Linked DNA regions of Oryzias latipes. The protein of the gene in region 1 purifies or fractionates together with the protein of each later gene. This does not show direct contact. Links are inferred from orthologs where the notes say so. Each region holds a gene or a part of one and is shown on either strand. Other genes may lie near its edges.

Region 1 (4,051 bases):
TTGGAAAGTCCACCATTATCGCTCAGAGAATTTTCATTTTAACTGACAACAGTTACGATTTCTCTCATTTGAAGCCTTGGTAGAAGTTTTGGCTACAATTCCGAACACTTTTGGGTTAGGATTAGTTGTATGATTTCTGCTTCCGGCCCGATGATGTCCGCCGCCATCTTGAAACCAAAGAGAACCAGAAGGATTTCTGGAGGTCTTTGCTGCACGTGGACCCTGGCGCAGAAATCAAAGATCTGCTGGGAGAACTCTTTGAATGTTTGGGTGCAACTCATCACACGGGGATATTTTGAAAGCCACACTCGATGGGGCATTCAGTGCCTCGCATGTACAGTCTGTGCAACAGATGTTCTGCAGGTTGGACGAAAACAACACCTGTTCCACATCTGTTGGACTCGCTTTGGTCCGTTTTTTTATGGGCGTTAACCTAATCGGTGGAACATTAGAGTCCCATTAACAGGTGCATTCTGCAAATTATGTTTTGGAAGAAAGGTTATGGAACCTTGACAGTTTTTAAATGCCTCCAGGCTTTGAGTTCGTACTCCTCTCGACGAAGAAACGAGACCCATTTTGGTGTCCAGATGTTACCGTCTGCTGTCCACCCGTTTTCGATTCCAGCCCCGTTCACTTTTATGCACACGCTGTTAGATTGCACACTTACTTGAGAAAGTATCTCTGGCCGGAGCTGGTCTTGGCCATCTCCCAGCCTGGCGGCAGGGGCACGTCGTCGGGAATCTCGTAGGACGACTGCCGGAGATGTTGGGGGGAGGCGCCTGCTGAGGCCATCCCAGACAGGGAGCCACCCGAAACGGCGCCCAGCTGCAGGGAAGCTGGAGACGAGTGTGCGCGTACGTGGTGGGGGGTGAGCACGCCGCCACTCCCAGCATCAGTGCTAGCCTGAGTTACAAAGAAGATGTTTTATTTATTTTTTTACATTGTTTCAATACATTGATAACTAAATGTCACATATTTTCATGTACCTTTAGAGGACCTGCTTGCTTTAGTCCCCTATAAACTGTATTTTTCATTGAATGATCATCTGTGACTACATACATGTTTTGTCTCGTTTCCTAATATCTATAAACTGTATGTTTTGTGGGCTGGGTTTGGAATTGTTTAGTCTTCTTCTGAAGTTCTTCTAGTTTTTATTACAGTTTATGCGTGCTTTCAAAAATAAATGCATAAAGACAAGCTTTTTTATTTGAAATGTAAACATATATGGGGGGGATAAACAACAAATAGTAAAGTTGGCAGGTGGGGGTTTTATTTAGTTTTTTTTTGTTTTTTGTTTGTCTAGGACCCCCCCCCCCAAAAAAAAAATTTGCAGTACTTCTGCATTATATCTAGTTTATTAGCGACAAAGACAAAGACATTATTTATCTTGTTTGTCCCAATGAGGAGTATCACAGTGATTCATTTTGGACTGTATTATAAAACAGCAGCATAATGAAAAATCTCTAAAAAATGAAAAAAAAATGATCATTAAGTCAGACTTGAACACTGTTGAGTCATCTGGATGTGCATCCAACTTGTGTCAGGGCCCACAGAGATAATCCAAGGCACCAGAGGGCCTGCACGGCGCATGCGCACTAGTTACAAAACTTCGGTAAGCAGTCGAAAGGGGAAATTGGGAGGGAGGGGTTGATGGGGTAAATCCAATCATCATATGATTTCTATATTGAAGCTGTATTAAAATAAAATAAAAAGTATATCTAACTAACCTTTAAATGACTGTTTATAAATGAATTAACAAAGTTTCGCAATAAAGTTTTATGTTCAAATAAATGTATCCACATTTCTTGCAAAACGTTTAAACTTTTTTTTAATGTTTTGATGATTTTCTTTTAATTAAAATTATAATTTGCGCTTACAATACATTTAAAAAAACGGACTAAAATCGTGATTTTAACAAAAAAACTAGATGGAGCGGTTGTTTTGAGCAGAGGTGGCCGTGTTTAGGCCGGGGCCCCCGCGGGATTGGAGGGGGGGGGTCTTACTTGTCTGGAATGGGACTTGGGCTCCGGGGGCTTGAAGAAGGAGTCCGGCAGCTTCCTCATCCTCATGGGCACGGACTGGGGCACGACGGCGCCCTTGGGGTTCATCACGGCGTTGAAAAGCGCCTCCAGGTCCGTTTCCGAGTCGCCCCGAACGTGAACGATCTGGTGTCCGACAGGAGGGTTGTGCTGGCTCGGATCCATTGTTCCACAAGCGCTCTGCGAACTCTTTGCGGCCCGAAAACGTTGAGTTACGAAACTTTTCAAAGGCGGTTCGAGCCGTCCCCGAACTTTTTTTTTTTTTTTGTCAAATCTTTAACTTCTAACGAAACTTAGTAAAAGTTTTGCAAAGTCATGACTTTTTAACGTCGGTCTACTTTTTCGAGCGGACCGCCGCGAGGCTGTTTTCGAACGATGTTAGCTGTCAAAATCAGCAGAGAAAGGCCGCTTTCCTTGGCTTTTCCCAGCTGACATACTTGTACATAAAACAAAGCGCATATCTGCTCCACTCTGGAATCTGTATTGTCGTCCGGACCCAGCTTTTACTCCCCCCCCCTTCAGAAAAAAAGTGCCGCAAAAGTTGGTGAAAAAAAAAAAAAAAAAGGTAACACCACCAAAGTTCAGGCAGTAAAAAGAAGTCCCGGCATTCCCAATTTCGGAAAAGTTTCAAAACTTTTTCCTCCCCAGGAATTTTCCAAGGCAGACTCAGCGCAAATCTGTGCCGCTCACTGCCCCGAAAAAAAGTTTCCTCCTGTTAGCCTAAACTTTGAGCAGGACATAAAACTTTATGGCTCATGGGACGTCTGCGCAAAGGGGGCGGGGCCACACTCCAACTGGGATGAGTTAAAGGTACAGGCAGTTATCCTGAGACCCATTTATCCTGCAAAAAAGCATTAAACTTAAGACTGCGACAAAATAGCAATTATGAAGTATACAACAAAATTATAAAATATAGCTTTTATTTCTATTTACCTCGATCTTTAAGAAAATATTAAAATAACAATAAAAGAAAATGTTGTAGTTTCAAAAATGACCACTAGAGGCTGGTATCAGAGGGAGGTCGTTTTCTATTGACTCCCCTCCTACGAAACTACAAATTTAGACCCTAAATTTACAGATGTGCTTCCCAGGATCAGTTTAAAAAAATGTTTTTTGCTTTGAATTTAAGCGTCCAGTTACCAAATGTGAGACAAACCCTAAAGAACTAAATACTGCAGTTCCTAAAATGACCACTAGAGGCTGGTTTCAGAGGTAGGGGATTTTCCAATGACTCTCCAATTTGAAAAACCACAAATTTACACCCTACAGGTAGATTCCCAGGGTCCCTTTGTTCTTTGATTTCTTTTTTTTTTTTTTTTTTTGCTTTTAATTAAAATATCCAGTTACCAAATGTAAGAATTCCTGAAAATATTAAATGTTGCAGTTCCTAAAATGACCAGTAGAAGCTGGTTTCAGAGGCAGATCATTTTCTATCGACTCCCCTCTAAAAAAAAACAAAAAGGAACTTTAAACATTGAATTAAGAGGTTTTCCAGGATCCCTTGTTTGTTGACGTATGCTACTTTGTTTTCCATTTATGATAAGTTTGTTTTACAGGGGAGTGTTTTGAAATGGTCTGTTTTTTATTTCATTAAGGAACATTTTTTTTTTTGTATAATTAGCGATAAACATACACAAACAGTGAAGTGACCATCTATGATGTCAAACACAAATTTCTAATAGACAAAAATGAAGCCTGAAATGAGACGCCTATATTGACCAGAGGTTGCTCTGTACAACTAAACAGACCTATTGACAAGAAGAAAACCCCCAAATGCGACATTAAAATCCTGATAAATCTGTTGAATTAAACTCATCTCTGTGCTTCACACACAGACAGATTTGATCCAGAAAAGGCCTGCAGAAAGTCCACTTTAGAAAATAGCTGCGAACATAAAAGGTGCCACGATTTTTCCCAAGAATCTTGAAAAGAACAATTTTCTTTCAATCGCTGAGGGAAATGGAACAATCTCTTCTTTCTTTTTTCTTTTTACACTGTATGTAAAGTAGAGC
Region 2 (4,221 bases), on another chromosome or scaffold:
CTGTCATGCGACCCATCTTTGACACTTTGTAGCTCATTTCTAAAATGTTAACTGTAAATGACAGTGATAGCAACCATTTCCAGGACAAGTGGGAAGGGGCATATTTTTCAGTAAAATAGGAAACAACTATGTCTGCCTCTTATGCCAAGACACCGTGGCTGTTTCAAAAGACTATCATGAGGGACTACCAGGCAAGACATAGTAACTACAACAAGCCGACTGGGACTGAACGGTGTGCACAACTTGCAGTAATTTTTGCAAATATGTATTTAAATGTGTTTGTTTTCTATGTGAAGAAATGAAAAGTATGCTATTACAAAAATGTTCATTAAATATTTCACTTGCATTTAATGTTACTAAAATAGTTAATGGATTGTCAGGCTGAATAAATGGCCCTCAAATATTTTCACATCACCAAATCTGGCTCTCTTTGCTAAAAGTTTGCTATAGACCATGTATTTGTTATGTAGGAAGTAGCCTATACTAACTGAATACTTCTGCATACTAAATTGGAAAACTATATGTTTATAATATAGTATATAAAAAGCAAACTTCAAGTATACTGCCTCACTTTTAGGATGGACTATACTTGGGCTAAAACTTTAGTATGTTAATGTTTAGGGTTAGGATGTAGTGGGTTGCTAAAATGGCCCTTTTTGTGTATCTACTCTACATAATCAAATGGCTTTTCTTTATTTGTTTGAAATATATATATATTAAAAAAATTGATATAGGGTAAAAGTTCTTGTTAGAAAGAAGTACAGTGGATCATTATCCAAATGCAATGTTGCGGTGGGGTCAAGTACTTATATCGAAAAATGTCACAAAATAATTTGTTTTTGCTTAAAACGTTGGGAATCTTTGCTGAGCCACCCTGGGTACGAATTGAAGATAAAGCGGTTCAACTGTGTCTAAGATTCTGTAGAACCAACTCGTTCTTGTTCCAGTGTCCCACGTTTTTCTGAGACACCCCATTCGCATTCGAATCATGTTCTAAGTCTAAATAGTTTGGGTTTTTGATAGGAGAAAACAACCTCCGGGTGAGTTTGGCACGTGCATTGACTCTTGACTTTTCCTACTTTCCGCGCGGGCTCCTGAAGGCAGCGGAGGAGCTGCAGTCACAAAGCCCCTTTGTCATTTTTCCGTTTCTCCCCTCCTCCCCCCCTCAGGTCGGGGCAACTTTCTTTTCTCTCCTTATTGCTGTGTCATGGAGGAACGTAGCATTAGTACAAGCCGAGTTGTTTCAGCTAAACGAGCACATCAAAGCACTTTTATTAAACTTGTTGTAGAGAATGCACATATTTATCTTTAGAAACCACTCCCTCCATGTTGGTCTTAATAAACTAATAAATAAGTGCGTCGTAACATAAGGTTTGGAGTTCCAGTGAGCTGCCCCCTTGTGTGTCTGTTTTAAAAGAATGTGACTGATTAGATTAGGAAACGGGAGTAGGACGGCTCTCCGTGCTCCCTTACAAAAAAGGGGAAGAAAAAAGTTTTTTTCATCCAGTTTCCATTAGATGTAGGAGGACGTTTGGGGAGGGAGGGGGCTGGAAATTCCTGTCATGCTGCAGGGCCAGCCTGGAGGGAGCTTCCTGCCACTTTTTTTTTTTTTAAACGTTCTTGTTCTTCCACGGCGGAGAATGAAATTTGATGGGAAGGAGCGAGACGTCGTGTCCGCGCAGAAACTCATGGAGACCTCCGGAGACTTCCAGGACTGAGCCGCCTCAGGTTTCCTGCGGAGGAGTTTGGTTGAAGAGAAGGGGGGCACTGCTTCTGTCCAACGGGAAAGGGAAACGGCATGTTTAGGTGTTTTCAAGGATCGGGGAAGTAGAAAAGAAGCTCCGCGGAAAGGTAAAAACCTAAGTATGTGTGCGCCGGGAGAGCGTTCACACTGATGTGAACGTCTCGCACTCCTGTTCCGGGTCGTAAAACTGCATTCCTCGGGAGTCCGCTCGCTTTCTTTGTAATCATCTACTAGAGACCAAACTGCCGCGAACAGCTTAAACATGACAGCCATCTCTGTTCACTCGCTGCCTCTTCAGGGATGCTTTAAATGTTTTTAGATTTTCTGGAACTTTAATGAATCAGAAGAAACTTTTAGGCCAGATGTTCAAAGTAAGACTTTGCATGTTTTTATGGGCCTAAAGCTCTAATGGTGGCACATTCAAAGTTTGATTGGACATCTTAGGTTTTACTTACCCTTTCACCCTTTAAAGACGCTATAGGATTGATAATATTTGGTTTTGGATTGTTAATATTTAGAAAGTCTGTCATTAAATACTAAAAAAGTTCCTCCAACATCCAGCTGAGCATCTTTATGACATTTGCTCCACAAGGTGAGGAAAGGACAGATGCATGTAGGGTAAAAATATGGAAGCCCAACAGAGAACACACATTTAAGGTTGTATATCAATTTCAAATTTACATAAAATAAATTGTGCTTCAATAAACAAGCGTTTATGGAGCTGTAAACCCTTTCTTCAAAGTAATTTACTTTTTTTGCACACTTTAAAACTTCTCCAGCGATTGGAAATATTAGAGGCCTTGTTGGTTTCTTCAAGTGTTAGGGTGTCGAGATCATTTTAAAAACAAAATTAATGAAAGGGAGAATTCTTATTTTTATTTTATTCTTATCTTTATTTATTTATTTAAAAACAACTTTATACAAGTGGAATGGGGAAGTTTACTCATCAAATGACTCAACAACACAAGGGAGATTAGTGATCTGTGAGAAACGCAGTACACATTTTTGCCAAATCATGCTTTATTAAGTTCATATGAAATACTAGCCGGGTGTTCCGTTTCGTTCTTCATGGCTAGAGTCTGGATTTTCTTATCCCTTGTACCCCTGGTGGAACCCACCTGGTTCTCCAGTAGAGGGGGCAGGGGCGTCAGAAAAACGAGCAGGACACCTGTTTTCAAGGACTGGGATTGGACGTGCAGTGCCGTGGAGCTAACAATGACTGTGCATGGATCTAATAGAGAGGCGGTGTGGTCACATGACCCAATGGTTTCCATGAGGTTAATTTGACTCTAGTTTTCAACTCTCATTGATATTAGGATAATAGGAGGCATTAGGGTCTAAGGGTAGGAATGCCCAGTTTAGTTTAGTCTGTTTAGTTTTGTTAACGATTGCCTGTTGTATTTTACGACTGATTTCATGTTCTGATACAATTACCGGTATAAAGCCTGTTGAGACAACTATTTTGTATTATTGGGCTATATAGATAAAATTCAATTGAATTAAATCTTCCATTGGAGCCATTGCTTAAGTACACGAAAAGCTGACCTTCAATAGAGTTGTGACTTTGGAAGCACAATAGAAAGCATGAACAGAAAATGTTTGGTGTAGAGGTAGAGTAACAGAACTGGTTGCAGTTTGGGTTCCTGCTTTGTCTGCCCATGTGTCAAAGTGTCCTTGGACAAGACACTGAACCCCACATTGCTCCAGGAGGTTTGTCTAGTGCCTTGCATTGCAGCTCTGTGACCATGAATGTGTATGCACGGGTTGGCAGGACTTGTGACTGTATGGTCCTTTGGGCCTTAATCGGATTAAATCAAAAATTCAACTTGGAAGTTTTATTCATTTTAGTTTTCTTTATTTAACAAAATAAACAAGCCTGCTAGTTTGGGCTGCAAGACATCGTCTCAACAAATGCAATTCAGATTTGCAGTTAAAGAGGATTCTGGCTGTTTGCTACATATGATCAAAAAACTAAAAAACAATGGCCCAACTATTAAGCATGGTGGAGGTGTGATGATTTAAGTTTGATTGACACCTGTCCTTTCCATCTTGTCATTATTGGATTGACTGTGAAAGTTCCTATATAGCAGCCTCTTTTAGAGTCCATTGTGAGGTCATCTGTCTAACAGCTAAAGCTTGCCTGAAAGTAGGTCATGAAACTGGCCATTGACCAAAGGTTATGAAGGTTAAGTTGTTTAATGTTGTCATAGCAACCAATGAGACATGAGAGCTAACGGCTGATCTGTGAGCTCTGGCTGAGTTAAGAAAGTGCTCCTCTTAGCCAGACTGCAGATTCCCGTTGCTTTTTTTCTTTGCATCCTTTGCTTTTGTATCTGCTGGTACCAATGTACCCAATTATGCCGTCATTGCATCTACAGTAGGAAAGAAGAATGTCACAAAACAATAAAATGTTCAATGTCTTCATTAGTTATCAGTAATACAATTAAATAAATTAGATTTATGCGGTTCAATATAAT
Region 3 (4,156 bases), on another chromosome or scaffold:
AGACGGTTTGCTCCCAACAGTTTTTGGAGAAAAGGCTGGAGTGTGACCCAAAAATGTATGATAAATATTCAAATGAAAGAGGTTTCTTTTAAAATAATTCACAAAATCTACCCCAGCAATCAATTCATGCTGAGATATGTTAAAACAATTGACCCTAACTGTAATGTTTGCAAATGACATCCAGAAACAATTGACCATCTTTTTTGGAACTTTAATGAAAATTGAATTTTTTGGAAAAAGTGTTTACAATTTATCAAAAAACATATTCACCCCAACTTCACTCTGAAATTTGAATATATAATTTTTTGCTTTCAAAATAAAAACTTGGGGTCAAGTAAAAAATGTCATATTCATAAATGCAAATTTTCTTCAACTTCTATTTTCCCCATATTAATCAAACAAATTGAAATATATCTCAGTACCATCTCTAAAAGCCTTCGCCAGAAAGCTGTATGTTTCTATGAAAGTTGTAAAAACTTGAATGTTTTTATGTAAAATGCATGTAATAAGTATGCTCCCCTGGCCTATTTGAAGTTTATTTTGTAAAAATGTGCTTTGTACTATACTTCTGTTTTGCACAAAAAATTAAAAAAAAAAAGATATGACTTATTTTATTTTTTATTTAATGTACACTTCAAGGACACTAATATAGAAATCTATATTATAGATTATATTTTAAAAAACAGGATTTATTTTCAAAATAAATGAAATGAATGAAACTTGTCACAGCAGTGAGGTATTGACATTTTTAAAACGTTTTCCACAAGTTTAGGTGTGTCTTGATGGGAATGTTTGACCATTCTTCCAGGAATGCATTTGTGACAAAGATGTTGAACGTGAACAGCTGACTCACTCCATATAATCTCAACCTGACCTCCATCAATTAAAGGTCAGGACTGCCAAGCAAGATCTTGGACCTTGCTTTGTGCACTAGCCACAATCTCATTAGAACAGCGAAGGCATCATTATATATTTTACACAAAATGAAGAGCAAAAAATTAACCAAAATATCTTGGCATGCTATAGCATGTCAAATTAATTTCGGTAAAATTAAGGGAGTGAGTCAAGCTGCTGAAAAAGTCACCATGGTGACACATATATACACTATAATATCCCTTCCACCAAACTTCATTCTTGGTACAATGCAGTAAAAAAAAAAAAACTACCAACAAATGAAGCTGTTTCACTGCTTAAGCCAGGAAACTAATCCTTGAAGATTTCGTTAATGTTTTGGCAAAAAACTTGTGTTACCCCGCAAACCTTTAATTAAAAATGTAATGCCACCGATAACTCTCTGGTGTGGTTTCTAATTGGTACACAAATAAAGGTTAAAGTAAACAAATGAAAAATCAGATCCTGGATCGAGGCAGCAAACGCAGCATGTTGATGCTCCAAGCCTCGCGGTATTTCCGTTACCCAGAATCCTTTGGTCCTCCTTTCTGCCTGAACCAACATGGTGGGTACATACTTGCTTTTTCCGACGAAAACTTATGCCTGATAAATCTCGTTGCATCTGTGTTTGTATACCTCCTATGTCCTCATCTAATGTCAATTCATAATGTAGTAATCCTTAATATTCATTCTAGGTGGATATTGAAGCATGATTTGACGTGGATAATGGTTAAAATTGAGTTTGATTTAGTGAAACGTACCCGGCAGCAGCGCTTAGGCGAAGTAGCTAACGCACGTTTAAAAAACGACCAGCTCTTTGGACATTTTTCTATTCTAAACATTTTTTGTTTTTAATTTGCTGTCTCGTTTATTGCTAAACTAATACTGAAGTGTGAAGAACTACTAGGCTGTTGTTTATCAGTTTTGAGTGAATGGACCTTAGCTTCAACATGCTAATTGTACTGTTGTGTCATGACTCTGGTTGCTTCGTGTCGTACTATTGTCATAATTAATATAGACTGAACGTGGAGATCCGAGTTTTGTACAGTTATGGGTAATTTAGGGTCCCAATTTTGAGCAGTGCTGCCCAATCCTGGTCCTCGGGAAACACGGCATGCATGATGAACACACCTGGCTTGAGCAGAGCTTGATAGGTAGAATCAAACGTCTTAACTTAAGGAGAGTAACATGGAAAACTTGCAGGACAGTTTTTCCAGAAGACCAGGGTTGGGAACCACTGGTTGACATGTCTTTGCATTGACCTCATTGTCGAATCAGGATTGAAATACAGACTAACAACTGTGTTGCTTTTTTAAATGGCATGATCTGTTAAATTACTTTTTGGTTAAGTTACTTGACTGTTTCAACGGGTGCAGCTTGTATTGAAGAGAATTTCACAAAATTAAATTGATGTCTTTTATTCCAACTTGGTAATGAACTTGATTAACGTTGAACAATGTTCTTTTCAGCCCAAGGGAAAGAAGGCTAAGGGGAAGAAGGTGGCACCTGCCCCTTCCGTGGCCAAAAAACATGAGGCCAAGAAAGTCGTCAACCCCCTGTTTGAGAAGAGGCCCAAAAACTTTGGCATTGGTACGTATCCACTGCTCCTGGTATGGGAGAAACGGTTCTGATGCAGATGATGTGACTGAATATTTGCTAACTTGATATTAATGATGACGACCTTCCACCAAGATCGCTGATGCATTTTTAAAAGTTCAATTCTAATGGGTTTGTGTGTTTATTGCTCTTCTTATTCTTGGGTTTTGTCGTCCACAGGCCAGGATATTCAGCCGAAGCGTGATTTGACCCGCTTTGTTAAATGGCCTCGTTATGTGCGCCTGCAGAGGCAGCGCTCCATCCTCTACAAGCGTCTTAAGGTTCCTCCTGCAATCAACCAGTTCACTCAGGCTCTGGACCGCCAGACAGGTAACACTTTGTAATGATCTTTGGTAAAGTGTCACTATTGGGTGATATTTTCCCTTTGACAATAAAGTTTTTACTTTGCAAGTGATGTAAACGAATATTTGCTATCTGATGATAATGCTGACGCATTTCCACCAAGATCGCTGATGCAGTTTCCTTGTAGCAACAAGTAGTGCTTAATACGTTGGTCAGACTTGTAATGTAAAGTTTATTTTTAGCCACTCAGCTCTTCAAGTTGGCACACAAGTACCGGCCAGAGACCAAGCAGGAGAAGAAGCAGAGGCTGCTGGCTCGTGCTGAACAGAAGGCTGCTGGGAAAGGAGACACGCCCACCAAGAGGCCTCCTGTTCTCCGTGCAGGTAAAATTCAGAGAAAATGTGCCAAATAGTTCATAAAAAAATCAGTTTTGATGTTTTGGCTGTTATGCAATGATGTTCAGAATTTCTTCACCTGAAACTTTCTATGATGGTTTTTGAGCTTTTTAACCCTGAGCATTGGCCATTATCCATAGTGAATGAATGGACGGTTTGTTTTCATGGAACAGGTAAATGTCATGATTCCCTTTTGTTTCCAGGTGTAAACACTGTCACAACTCTGGTGGAGAGCAAGAAGGCTCAGCTGGTTGTCATCGCCCACGATGTTGATCCAATTGAGGTGAGATTAGTGTCAGGTTTTTGTCGCGCTGCGGTCGCTGGCAATGATGTCTGAATTTCTTCACCTGAATCCTCCGTGTGGATCCAAACATACGAGCTTTTTAACCCTGAGCAGCGACCATCAGTTCTAAAAATTGACTGAACCTTACAGCCACTGATGTGGATATTTGTAACATATTGTCACTTTTCGGATGTTCTGCTTCAGCTGGTCGTGTTCTTGCCTGCTCTCTGCCGCAAGATGGGTGTCCCATATTGTATCGTCAAGGGCAAGGCCAGACTGGGCCGACTGGTGCACAGAAAGACGTGCACTTCTGTGGCTTTCACACAAGTTAACCCGTAAGTATCAGCAAAAGCTAAACTTTTATCTCGGGGCACAACCCTAACCTTTAGGTTTTGAAATGCTTGTCTAGAATGTGTATAAAAAGTTGTTTTTACATGTAAATAATGCAAAAACACTGCATGTTGGAGCTGCATTAACATTTGTTCTCGTCACAGTGAGGATAAAGGGGCACTTGCTAAACTCGTGGAAGCCATCAAAACCAACTACAATGACAGATTTGAGGAGGTGAGGTCCAAATCTGTTATTTACAGCATCTGCATCATATTTTTCCCTTAACCTCCTGAAATTCTTTTTTCTTAGATCCGTCGTCATTGGGGAGGCAATCTCATGGGTCCCAAATCCACAGCCC
Region 4 (4,090 bases), on another chromosome or scaffold:
ACTTCCTTCCCGATTCTTCCAAGTCCAACTATTCCTAGAACTTTGCCATACAGCTCTGAACCCATGAACTGCAGTGAAGGGAATAAAGCACCCAAAATCCAAACAATGAGAACCCAAGTGTCAGATGTGATTATTAACCAGCGGATGAACAGTGGAACCATCCATGCAACAGCAATTGCTTTATGAGCCGAAGCAAACGAAGGGCTAGATGGAAAGCCTCTGTTTACCTTTTTACGGTCCCAGTTCCCTTCTTTCATTGACATTACAGCTTGAGGCACATTCCTAAAATTAAACAAAAAAATTCTGATTAACAATCCCCTTGCTAATAGCAGGTCTGCTTACCGATGGTAGAAGAAAGGTACAGTTTGTACCTTGAAAGGCTCATCAGCAGTGCACATGTCAGCTCAGCGGCACTAATTGTGTTACCGCTTGGTGTGCTGGGAAAAAACAGTGGAAAGTTACACTGGGCCCTTCACGGTGACCAGAATCAGTATTTAAAACTGGGGACTCACTTCATGACAATGATGCCCTTATGGGTAGCAGCATTTACGTCCACATTATCCACACCGGTCCCAGCTCTCCCGATGATCTTGAGATTATGAGCGGCACTGATGATGTCAGCTGTTACTTTTGTTGCAGATCTGACCACAAGGCCATCATAGAGCTAAAATGTAAAGAAGTGATCAAAAGGCAGATGAACAAAACAGCTGTGATGTATAAAAATTTTACCCCACTTTATTATGAAATCCACTTAAATCCTGAATGCTGTTCAACAACATGACCATAACAAAAACTGTTTATAATTTATTTTGTGCCTAGGACTAACTTCTGATTAGCCGACTATAATGAAAATGGTGTTTTTGGTGTTTTTAACATGTTCTTGTGGCATTTTTCTGATGATGGAGGACATGTATAAAGATAATTCAGCGTAAAACTGCATTTCTGAGTATTTCTTTATTCAAATCACTGTGAATTTGGAGCAGATGCTGCTTAAAAGGGGCTTATTTGTGACGTCGAAATATGCAAGGTGGGATCACTATTAAAATAGCTTAAAAGATGATCAGAGGAGGTCTTTTAAAAATTTAGCTCTGTTATTTTTTGATTAACCACTAAAAATATAATTCTTGCAATCAGAACTTCAACTTATTGATCCTTTATATTGCATTTTTTTTAAAAGGAAGAAAAAAAAGTTACTTGTGCATTTGTGTTACCACTGTATTTTGTGGTTTAGGAGCATTAGCACAACACATGAAAAGTAGCACACTACAAATTAGCAACAGACAGAATATTATGTGTGCATAAAACATGAACGAGTAAGCTATCTTTGCTGTAATGCTCTACAGTAACTTGTGATTGAAGAACTTTTTCCTTCAAAGTCCCTCTCCGATCAGAAAATCAAAAAACCTGTGACATTTTCTAGGACATACTTTCTGCAGAGCTGTAGTAGTTCATTAGAAATTTGCTTCTGAGCTGTGGGCGGGACTGTTGGCTTGGGAGTAAGCCGGCCCCCTTCCAATCTGTTTACATGCTTTCCCACTAGTTTACAGCCCCTCCCACCCTCAACAAAAAATTACTGGTGCAAAAAATTAGCTAGCAATATTGGAGCTATCCAGCTGTACAGTTTTGAGCCAGATGCCAGCTCAGACCAGGAAAACAAAGACGTTCATGGATCTCTTTGTCTGCAAGTGGATGCATTAGAATAGATCGGAACAGGGGGCTTGTGGCTTGCCTTGGTAGCGTCTGCATCGCAAATCTTTTTCGCGATTGCCTGATTCACAATTATTTGAATAAAGAAAGACTCAGAAAATGCTATTTTAGGCTTAAATTTCTCAAAGTTTGTCCTCCATCATGAGAAAATGCAGCAAGAACATGTTAAAATGCCAAAAACACGATTTACATCAGAGTGGATCTTTAACTATAGATGTTCAATAAATTTACAGCTTTATAGTCTTCTACCTACATTTTAAACTGAAATCTTATAAATGGTGCCCATGACTTCAATTTGGCCCAAGGACTCAAATCATGACGAATCCGGCCCTGGGAATCAGCTCCAATAACAACAGTCATTCAGATGGAGCAAATAAAAAAATAATTGAAAAAAAGTTCAGCAACTTTTCTTTTCTTTTATTAGATTGGATGTAATCTGATAAATTTTACAGTTCAAGGACACAGCTGGTTCGACGGGGGTGCGCAGAGGAATGCGTCTAAAGAAAAGTCAAAGATGAGTTGCATCAGCCTCCCGCTCTCCTATAGGGCGGAACTGAGCTGAGATCATCTGGGTAATCGGACTCCACGTGCAAAATCCAGCAAGCATGTCTCTACATGCATCCATTAAAGCACGTTATCGAGATAAAGGACGTACGCGCAGGAATACGGTGCGTGAGAGAAAAGTGCCCCGATGCCCTCGGAGCCTCCACAACAAAAGACCCGCTCTTACCCCAATCTCTGCAATCAATTCCTCTTTCTTCATGTTCTGCTTCTCCGTCACTAGGATGCCGTTTTCCTCCAGGATCGCCCTGCAGCGGGGATCGACACTTTCACTGATTAGCACGGATTTGATGGAGGTCGGGGCCATCTTGGGATTTTTCTCTGTGGGGTTGCGGATGCGGGGCAGCCGGTTAGGAGAGTTGGTGAACTGATGATGATGATGATGATGGGTCCTCTTCAGAGTTCCTCCCCCAAAACCCCTAGTCTTTTGAAACGGCTTTCTCCAAGCTGAAAGCATGCGTGGTCCCGCCTCCCGCACATCACCCGTTCAGGCGTGACTGGAGATGAATTCGAAGAGTCACTCTTTAGAGCTCTGCCAGCAGAAAACCCACTGAAAAAAAGCACCTCTTTTTGCAAAATGAAGAACCAAAACAGCTGCGATGGTTATAGTTTTATGTAGGAACTCATGAACTAGCGCAATAGTTGTAACCCAAGTGGCTTTTAATTTAAAAAAGGGCAAAAAAATGTAGGAAATACAATGGATAAAGGAGTGAAAACTGTGTGTACTGCTAATTGCTGGAGAGATTCTATAATGTAAGCACTAATATTGAATAAATAACTTTATTGGTGCTGAATTAACTGAAGAAGATGGGGAAAAAACAAAAACAAACAAAGAAAATCTGGTCTAAATAGCAGAGGATGCTACAACTTCCAAAGGTGCCAGAATAACGACATAATGGTGAAACAGGTAGAAAAAAAAAACAATATTGTTTTAAAAATGTTATAGATAATCATAAAAAAATCTTAAATTGTTTGAAAAAAATCTAAAAGGAAATAAATGTGTAAAATTGAAATTGGAAAAACAAAAAACTCAATAGCAATAGTTGCTTATGATAATTATTTAGTTAGTAATGCAAAAGCCAGGGGTTATATAAGTTTGCCCCCTCCCATTCCCTTTCACGCAATCAATTCAACTACTTTGGTCAAACCTAATTGTTTCTTTGTGTGATGCAAAAGAGCTAATGATTAAGAGTAATAAAAAAATTTTTTTATGTGGATGTATGCACATTTTCCAATCAATTTTATGACTAATTATCCCATATTTGATATATTTCTGCATAGATTTCAGTTGTTTGTTTTGTTTTTTGCTTTCTTTTGCTTTGATATATACACTGTATATGCCACAAGTAACTTTTTAAAGTGTTGACAAAAATAAGAACTATAAAGCCAAAAATCTACAGAATCGATAAAAGTCCAAATTATCTTTTTTGCAGAAAGTATTCTATCTTTCTTTTTTCAATTTGAGAACAAAGTTTCAACAAGGAATTTGTATCTTAAAAGGGACCATAAACTGAAAGTGCAAGTACAAATCTCCAGAAAGGGCAAAAAATTGAGACAAAACTTAGCGCCTCGTTTTCTATTTTCCTCTTTTACAATATTTAATGAGGGATACATATCTTATTTAGTCACTGTACCTTTAATCATGTGGTTTAAGCATGTAGCATTTCAAATGATAGTCAAAGATTTGTTACTGTGTAACGCCAGAACGAAGAGAGAAACCAAATTAAAAAGTATACTTCTTCAATTTGTCCAGAAAATCAGATCATGTGACGCTAGATTTAAGACACTGTTGATCTCCTGACTCATTAAACAGCATATGACA
Region 5 (4,134 bases), on another chromosome or scaffold:
TGCTTTTCTCAGATACATATGGACCCAGCAAACGATCAGGGATTTTTCTGGTGAAAGTTTTCGGCCCCTAAGCTTCGGGATCTTTGCATCTCAATGTTTTTGTGTTTTTTCTCCCCCTCCTGGGACATTATTGTCTTAATGCAATTAAGTTTGCAGAGGAGAAAATGAGCTTTTAAATGCTCCTCGGAGAGGCTGAGAAAGCTGAAAATGTTTTTCCGTTTGACCCACTAGAAAAATGATTGGATCCAATTTAGTTTAAATAAATTTCACATATGGTGTTGGCGTCAAAACTGACCCATTTTCAAGAGAAAACGGGTCAATTATGACCCCAGTAGAATAGAAGGGTTTCCTCACGACCCTTTAATTAGACCACATGTGTCAAACTCAAGGCCCGGGGGCCAAATGTGGCCCTCCATGTCATTTAATGTGGCCCGCGAGAGCATAAAAGTTAAAAAAAAATGTAAATAAAAAAATAAAAATTGGTGTGTATTTATTCATATCTAGGGGGAATTGAACTTAAATTATTGGATTGGGCAGCTACATATTAGGACTTAAACATTGTCAATATAGTTTAGGCTATATATAGAATCAAATTTCAAAGGATTTATGCTAGAGTAACAAGCAAACATATGTTTCCTATGCAACTGTAATTGTCACTTTAAAGAGTTATAATAAATATTTTATATTTTTCATTACATTCAGTTATATCTGGCCCCTTGAGGGCAACCACTATGCGGATGTGGCCCTCGGTGAAAAGGAGTTTGACACCCCTGAATTAGACCTTCTATTGTAGGATTTGGAAGGAGCACACTATAGATGTTTTTTAGGGAAAATCTATAGAAATGAAGAGAAACTTTAAAGAAAAATGATTAAAAAAAAAACAGAAAATTGATAAACATAAAAAAAAAATGTATCCGTCCTGATGTTGCTTCCATTCTGTCTGCTGAAGCCATATTTTCAGGTCTAACTTTAACCCGCTCTGACACAGCCCAGCACTGTGCATTTATTTATACAGAATTATAAATATAACAGAAAGAACTGGTGGTCTTGCAGAATCACACTGCGCCGTCGAGGGGACTTTTTGTGGTCGCACCGACAGATTTACTGCTCAGAGGTTCATAAACAGGAGCCATGTCGATGAGGGGGAGCGCCAGTGTCAATCAGACGGCGTGCGAGGACCGATCAGCCACCTGATCGTTCGCTCACATCGGCTCTTCTGCCTACAGACCTCCACAGCGGCATGCTTTCAATTTCCTCCTCCTCACTTCTTGTCCTCCCGTGCCCCAAAAACCCCAGAGACCAGAGAGGTCTGGAGGTTAAATCAGTAATAGGTGGTGGTGATTGTTGGAAGACGCTCACTTTAAAGCACATTAGGAGCCACCCTGCTTCTGTGTGGAGAACCGGAGTAGCAGAATTTCATCACCGAGCCACTTCTATAAAACATCTTTTAAACATTTGATTTGGACGAGGAGAGGAGGGAGGGGTGAAATGTGGAGGGATTTATTAAACAGAGCCAATGTCTGGAGTCAAACAGGACAGAAAATATATTAAAAAAAACAACAACAACACATTTTTCGGCTTAAATCATAAAGATAGAAAACAAAAAACTGAAACAGAGGGTTTGACGCAGAAAGGTGGTGGTGAGAATCATTATTATGGAGGAAACAGAATTTTATTTGGTCCAAAAAAAAAAAGTGCAAATGTGAGAAACTCAGGTTTGAGGGATCGCACAGATTCATCGTCAAGTCACAAACGGGAATCTTCGTCAGCTGATGAACAGCTCTCTGGCTGCTGCGTTTATTCAGACGGATTAATTAATCCCAGCAGTCAGAGCGAACCACTTCAGGAAGCGATTACAACTAATCAATACTCGATTGCATGTAGGACACCAAAACAGCCGCAGTGCGCAGTAATCCCCCCCCACATCTTGTTTCAATGCTGGACTGTAAACTCTCAAGACCGGCGTCTGTTTACGTCTGTCAAAAATATTGCTCCCCACTTTTGTTTTTTTGGGTTTCTGCAGTGACTTTGCTTTGTAAATCCATGAGTAGGTTGCACAAACATACCATCCCGCTCTTTCAGAAGTATTTCTAAACATCAGATGGCGTAAATACTGGCATTTCTCACAGCAGTTTCTTGTTTTTTTTTTCGGAGTGTTTTCATTTGGAGTTGGCGCACCACAAAAAGCTGTGATGAGCCACAACTGCTTTGACTTTGATTACAGAGTCCTTTGGCGGGCCTCGGCGAATCTTCCTCACTCATCTGGACCCAAACCCTTCATTTGGATCCAAGACTATAAGGAAGACATCCAAAACCCCCACCGCTTGACCCCAAGTTGTCCCCGTGACCCGTCCAGGACAGTGGTACTCACCCCAGAAGAAGTTCTGCTGACATGGTCCCACTGTGCTGAAAAGACTGTTGGATGCCATAGCTGCCTCTGGTTCCAGCAAGCCCCACTTTTGCTCCTCTGTGGTTTCGGTGACCCTTGACACGTCCTAAACCAAGAGCACGCAGCATGTCATGAAGAGGAAAAAGTTGGATCCACTAAGAGCGCTTTTACGTATCAACTATTTGGATGACCGCAAATAACAACCCAGTTTGGTTTTATGAAAAAAAAAAAGAAAAAATTCAGGGGTTAATTTCGCCTTTGCGGATGGATCAGTTGCTGTCGGACTTGCTTGCTTGGCGAGTGTGGTTGGAACGTACTTACTCGCTCAGCGTCGTCCTTGTGAGTGGTGCTGGCCGGCGACGATTAACCATTTACGCTCCGAGTCGCCCTCAAACACAAACCCCTGAGCCGCACGTCTGTGGTTCTGTGGTTGTTTGGGAGGTGAGCAGAGCCCTCACACAACCCAAAAGGCACCAGCTTTAAAACTCGTCTCTTTCCTGCCCTCCATGTGCCGTCACTGGAGACCCTGGGTCACATGCCCTCTCACGTCATCACGGCACAGCAGCTGAGTGGGACAGCCCACCGTTGTGGCTTTCCCTCCTCTCCTCAGAGTTTTCACCTCCCTCCTCTCCTGCTCCTCTCCGCGTAGCACGGCGGCGTTTTCCAGCCTCTCTGGGGACCTGGGTCTGACGCTCCCATGAGTCAGGAGGGTTCAGTGGGGGGCAGCTTGTTCAACCGCCTGTGCCCACCTCGGCATATGGGGAGCAGTGCTTTCTGCCCCCGCTCCACTCTGCTCCTCAGCTCCTTTTGCAGGCGGCTGTGCTGCTCCCGTCTGCCTTTGAGCAGAGAGAGCTGAGCTCGGTAAGATTTGAGGGTGTGAGCGAGGCGGGAACGGCTGGCGGCGTTAGACTGGGTGTGAGCGTCTGAGGGGGGGTTGTGCGAGCATGTGCAGCAGAAAGAGCGGCAAAGGAGACGAGAGCTGCTGTGACGCTGCTTATTTACAGAGCCAGTCACTTTCACAGCGTGGGATGCCGCTCTGCTGCAAACAGCACTCATGTCATGGTGTCATGCACTAATGGACGTGTTTGTGTGCTGGCTGTGAGATGTGATTGGCTCAGAGAGGGGGATGGCTTCCTGTAAAGAGTCATAGATCACCTGTCTTCACAGTAAAATACAGGCTGTGGCACACAAACAGTCACATTAACGCAGACGCTCCTGCCAAAAAGACAAAAAAAAAGAAAACTTCCACCAAGTGAGCAGGCAGGTCGGGACAATCGGGGATGAATCACGCGCTGCTTCCCACAAACGCCGCCACACATCCCAGCATGCTTAACCTTTGATCAGCGATCACAGGTGTTTGATACAAATCAGAAATGCAGACAAGACAGACGCAAAGGAATGCCAGGAATGGAAGCAGGAGCAGTGTCAGATCATTTTGGGATCCCTGAGTCAGTGGACCATATCTTCTGCACTATAAAGCCACGTTCACATAACCCTCTGCATATCGCGTTCAAGCGGCCACTTCCAACGAAAAGTCTGCGTAAACACGTTTCAGGCTTCTTCGCTCACAACTTTACTGTTAACGCGTAGCTACACAAGTTTCTACGACTGTTTTTGGGGATCTATGCACAAGCCGCGTGCAAGTTTAAGTGCTTGCAACTTCCTTACAAACACTTCAGGATACACTTACCACACATGACGATGGTTCTACCATTTTCATCAAGCCCCTACAGGTGGCCTTACGA

What was found. The genes of interacting proteins can lie anywhere in the genome.
Region 2: the proteins of yap1 (region 1) and angiomotin purify together in Homo sapiens (affinity purification with western blotting; 17 studies listed by BioGRID and IntAct, with this or other methods). This does not show direct contact. The link is inferred for Oryzias latipes from reciprocal best matches to the Homo sapiens genes YAP1 and AMOT.
Region 3: the proteins of yap1 (region 1) and rpl7a purify together in Homo sapiens (affinity purification with mass spectrometry, with the first as the bait; 3 studies listed by BioGRID). This does not show direct contact. The link is inferred for Oryzias latipes from reciprocal best matches to the Homo sapiens genes YAP1 and RPL7A.
Region 4: the proteins of yap1 (region 1) and phgdh purify together in Homo sapiens (affinity purification with mass spectrometry, with the first as the bait; 4 studies listed by BioGRID). This does not show direct contact. The link is inferred for Oryzias latipes from reciprocal best matches to the Homo sapiens genes YAP1 and PHGDH.
Region 5: the proteins of yap1 (region 1) and runx2 purify together in Homo sapiens (affinity purification with western blotting; 4 studies listed by BioGRID and IntAct, with this or other methods). This does not show direct contact. The link is inferred for Oryzias latipes from reciprocal best matches to the Homo sapiens genes YAP1 and RUNX2.

Annotation. Positions count from the first base shown.
Region 1 is NC_019871.2:6,488,603-6,492,653, reverse strand, and holds the start of yap1 (transcriptional coactivator YAP1), read right to left. Parts: upstream 2,801-4,051; 5' UTR 2,205-2,800; coding exon 2,004-2,204; intron 904-2,003; coding exon 668-903; intron 1-667. UniProt on the Homo sapiens protein: Transcriptional regulator with dual roles as a coactivator and corepressor. Critical downstream regulatory target in the Hippo signaling pathway, crucial for organ size control and tumor suppression by restricting proliferation and promoting apoptosis.
Region 2 is NC_019872.2:12,828,790-12,833,010, reverse strand, and holds the start of angiomotin, read left to right. Parts: upstream 1-1,421; 5' UTR 1,422-1,851; intron 1,852-4,221.
Region 3 is NC_019870.2:7,756,639-7,760,794, forward strand, and holds the start of rpl7a (60S ribosomal protein L7a), read left to right. Parts: upstream 1-1,356; 5' UTR 1,357-1,453; coding exon 1,454-1,456; intron 1,457-2,360; coding exon 2,361-2,481; intron 2,482-2,522; exon of another isoform or gene 2,523-2,595; intron 2,596-2,667; coding exon 2,668-2,817; intron 2,818-2,893; exon of another isoform or gene 2,894-2,965; intron 2,966-3,032; coding exon 3,033-3,173; intron 3,174-3,237; exon of another isoform or gene 3,238-3,310; intron 3,311-3,388; coding exon 3,389-3,468; intron 3,469-3,506; exon of another isoform or gene 3,507-3,583; intron 3,584-3,672; coding exon 3,673-3,803; intron 3,804-3,962; coding exon 3,963-4,032; intron 4,033-4,107; coding exon 4,108-4,156.
Region 4 is NC_019879.2:21,728,517-21,732,606, reverse strand, and holds the start of phgdh (D-3-phosphoglycerate dehydrogenase), read right to left. Parts: upstream 2,801-4,090; 5' UTR 2,726-2,800; coding exon 2,438-2,725; intron 665-2,437; coding exon 513-664; intron 438-512; coding exon 372-437; intron 283-371; coding exon 228-282; intron 69-227; coding exon 1-68. UniProt on the Homo sapiens protein: Catalyzes the reversible oxidation of 3-phospho-D-glycerate to 3-phosphonooxypyruvate, the first step of the phosphorylated L-serine biosynthesis pathway.
Region 5 is NC_019882.2:3,136,870-3,141,003, reverse strand, and holds the start of runx2 (runt-related transcription factor 2), read right to left. Parts: upstream 2,801-4,134; 5' UTR 2,711-2,800; intron 2,658-2,710; exon of another isoform or gene 2,496-2,657; 5' UTR 2,430-2,495; coding exon 2,372-2,429; intron 1-2,371. UniProt on the Homo sapiens protein: Transcription factor involved in osteoblastic differentiation and skeletal morphogenesis. Essential for the maturation of osteoblasts and both intramembranous and endochondral ossification.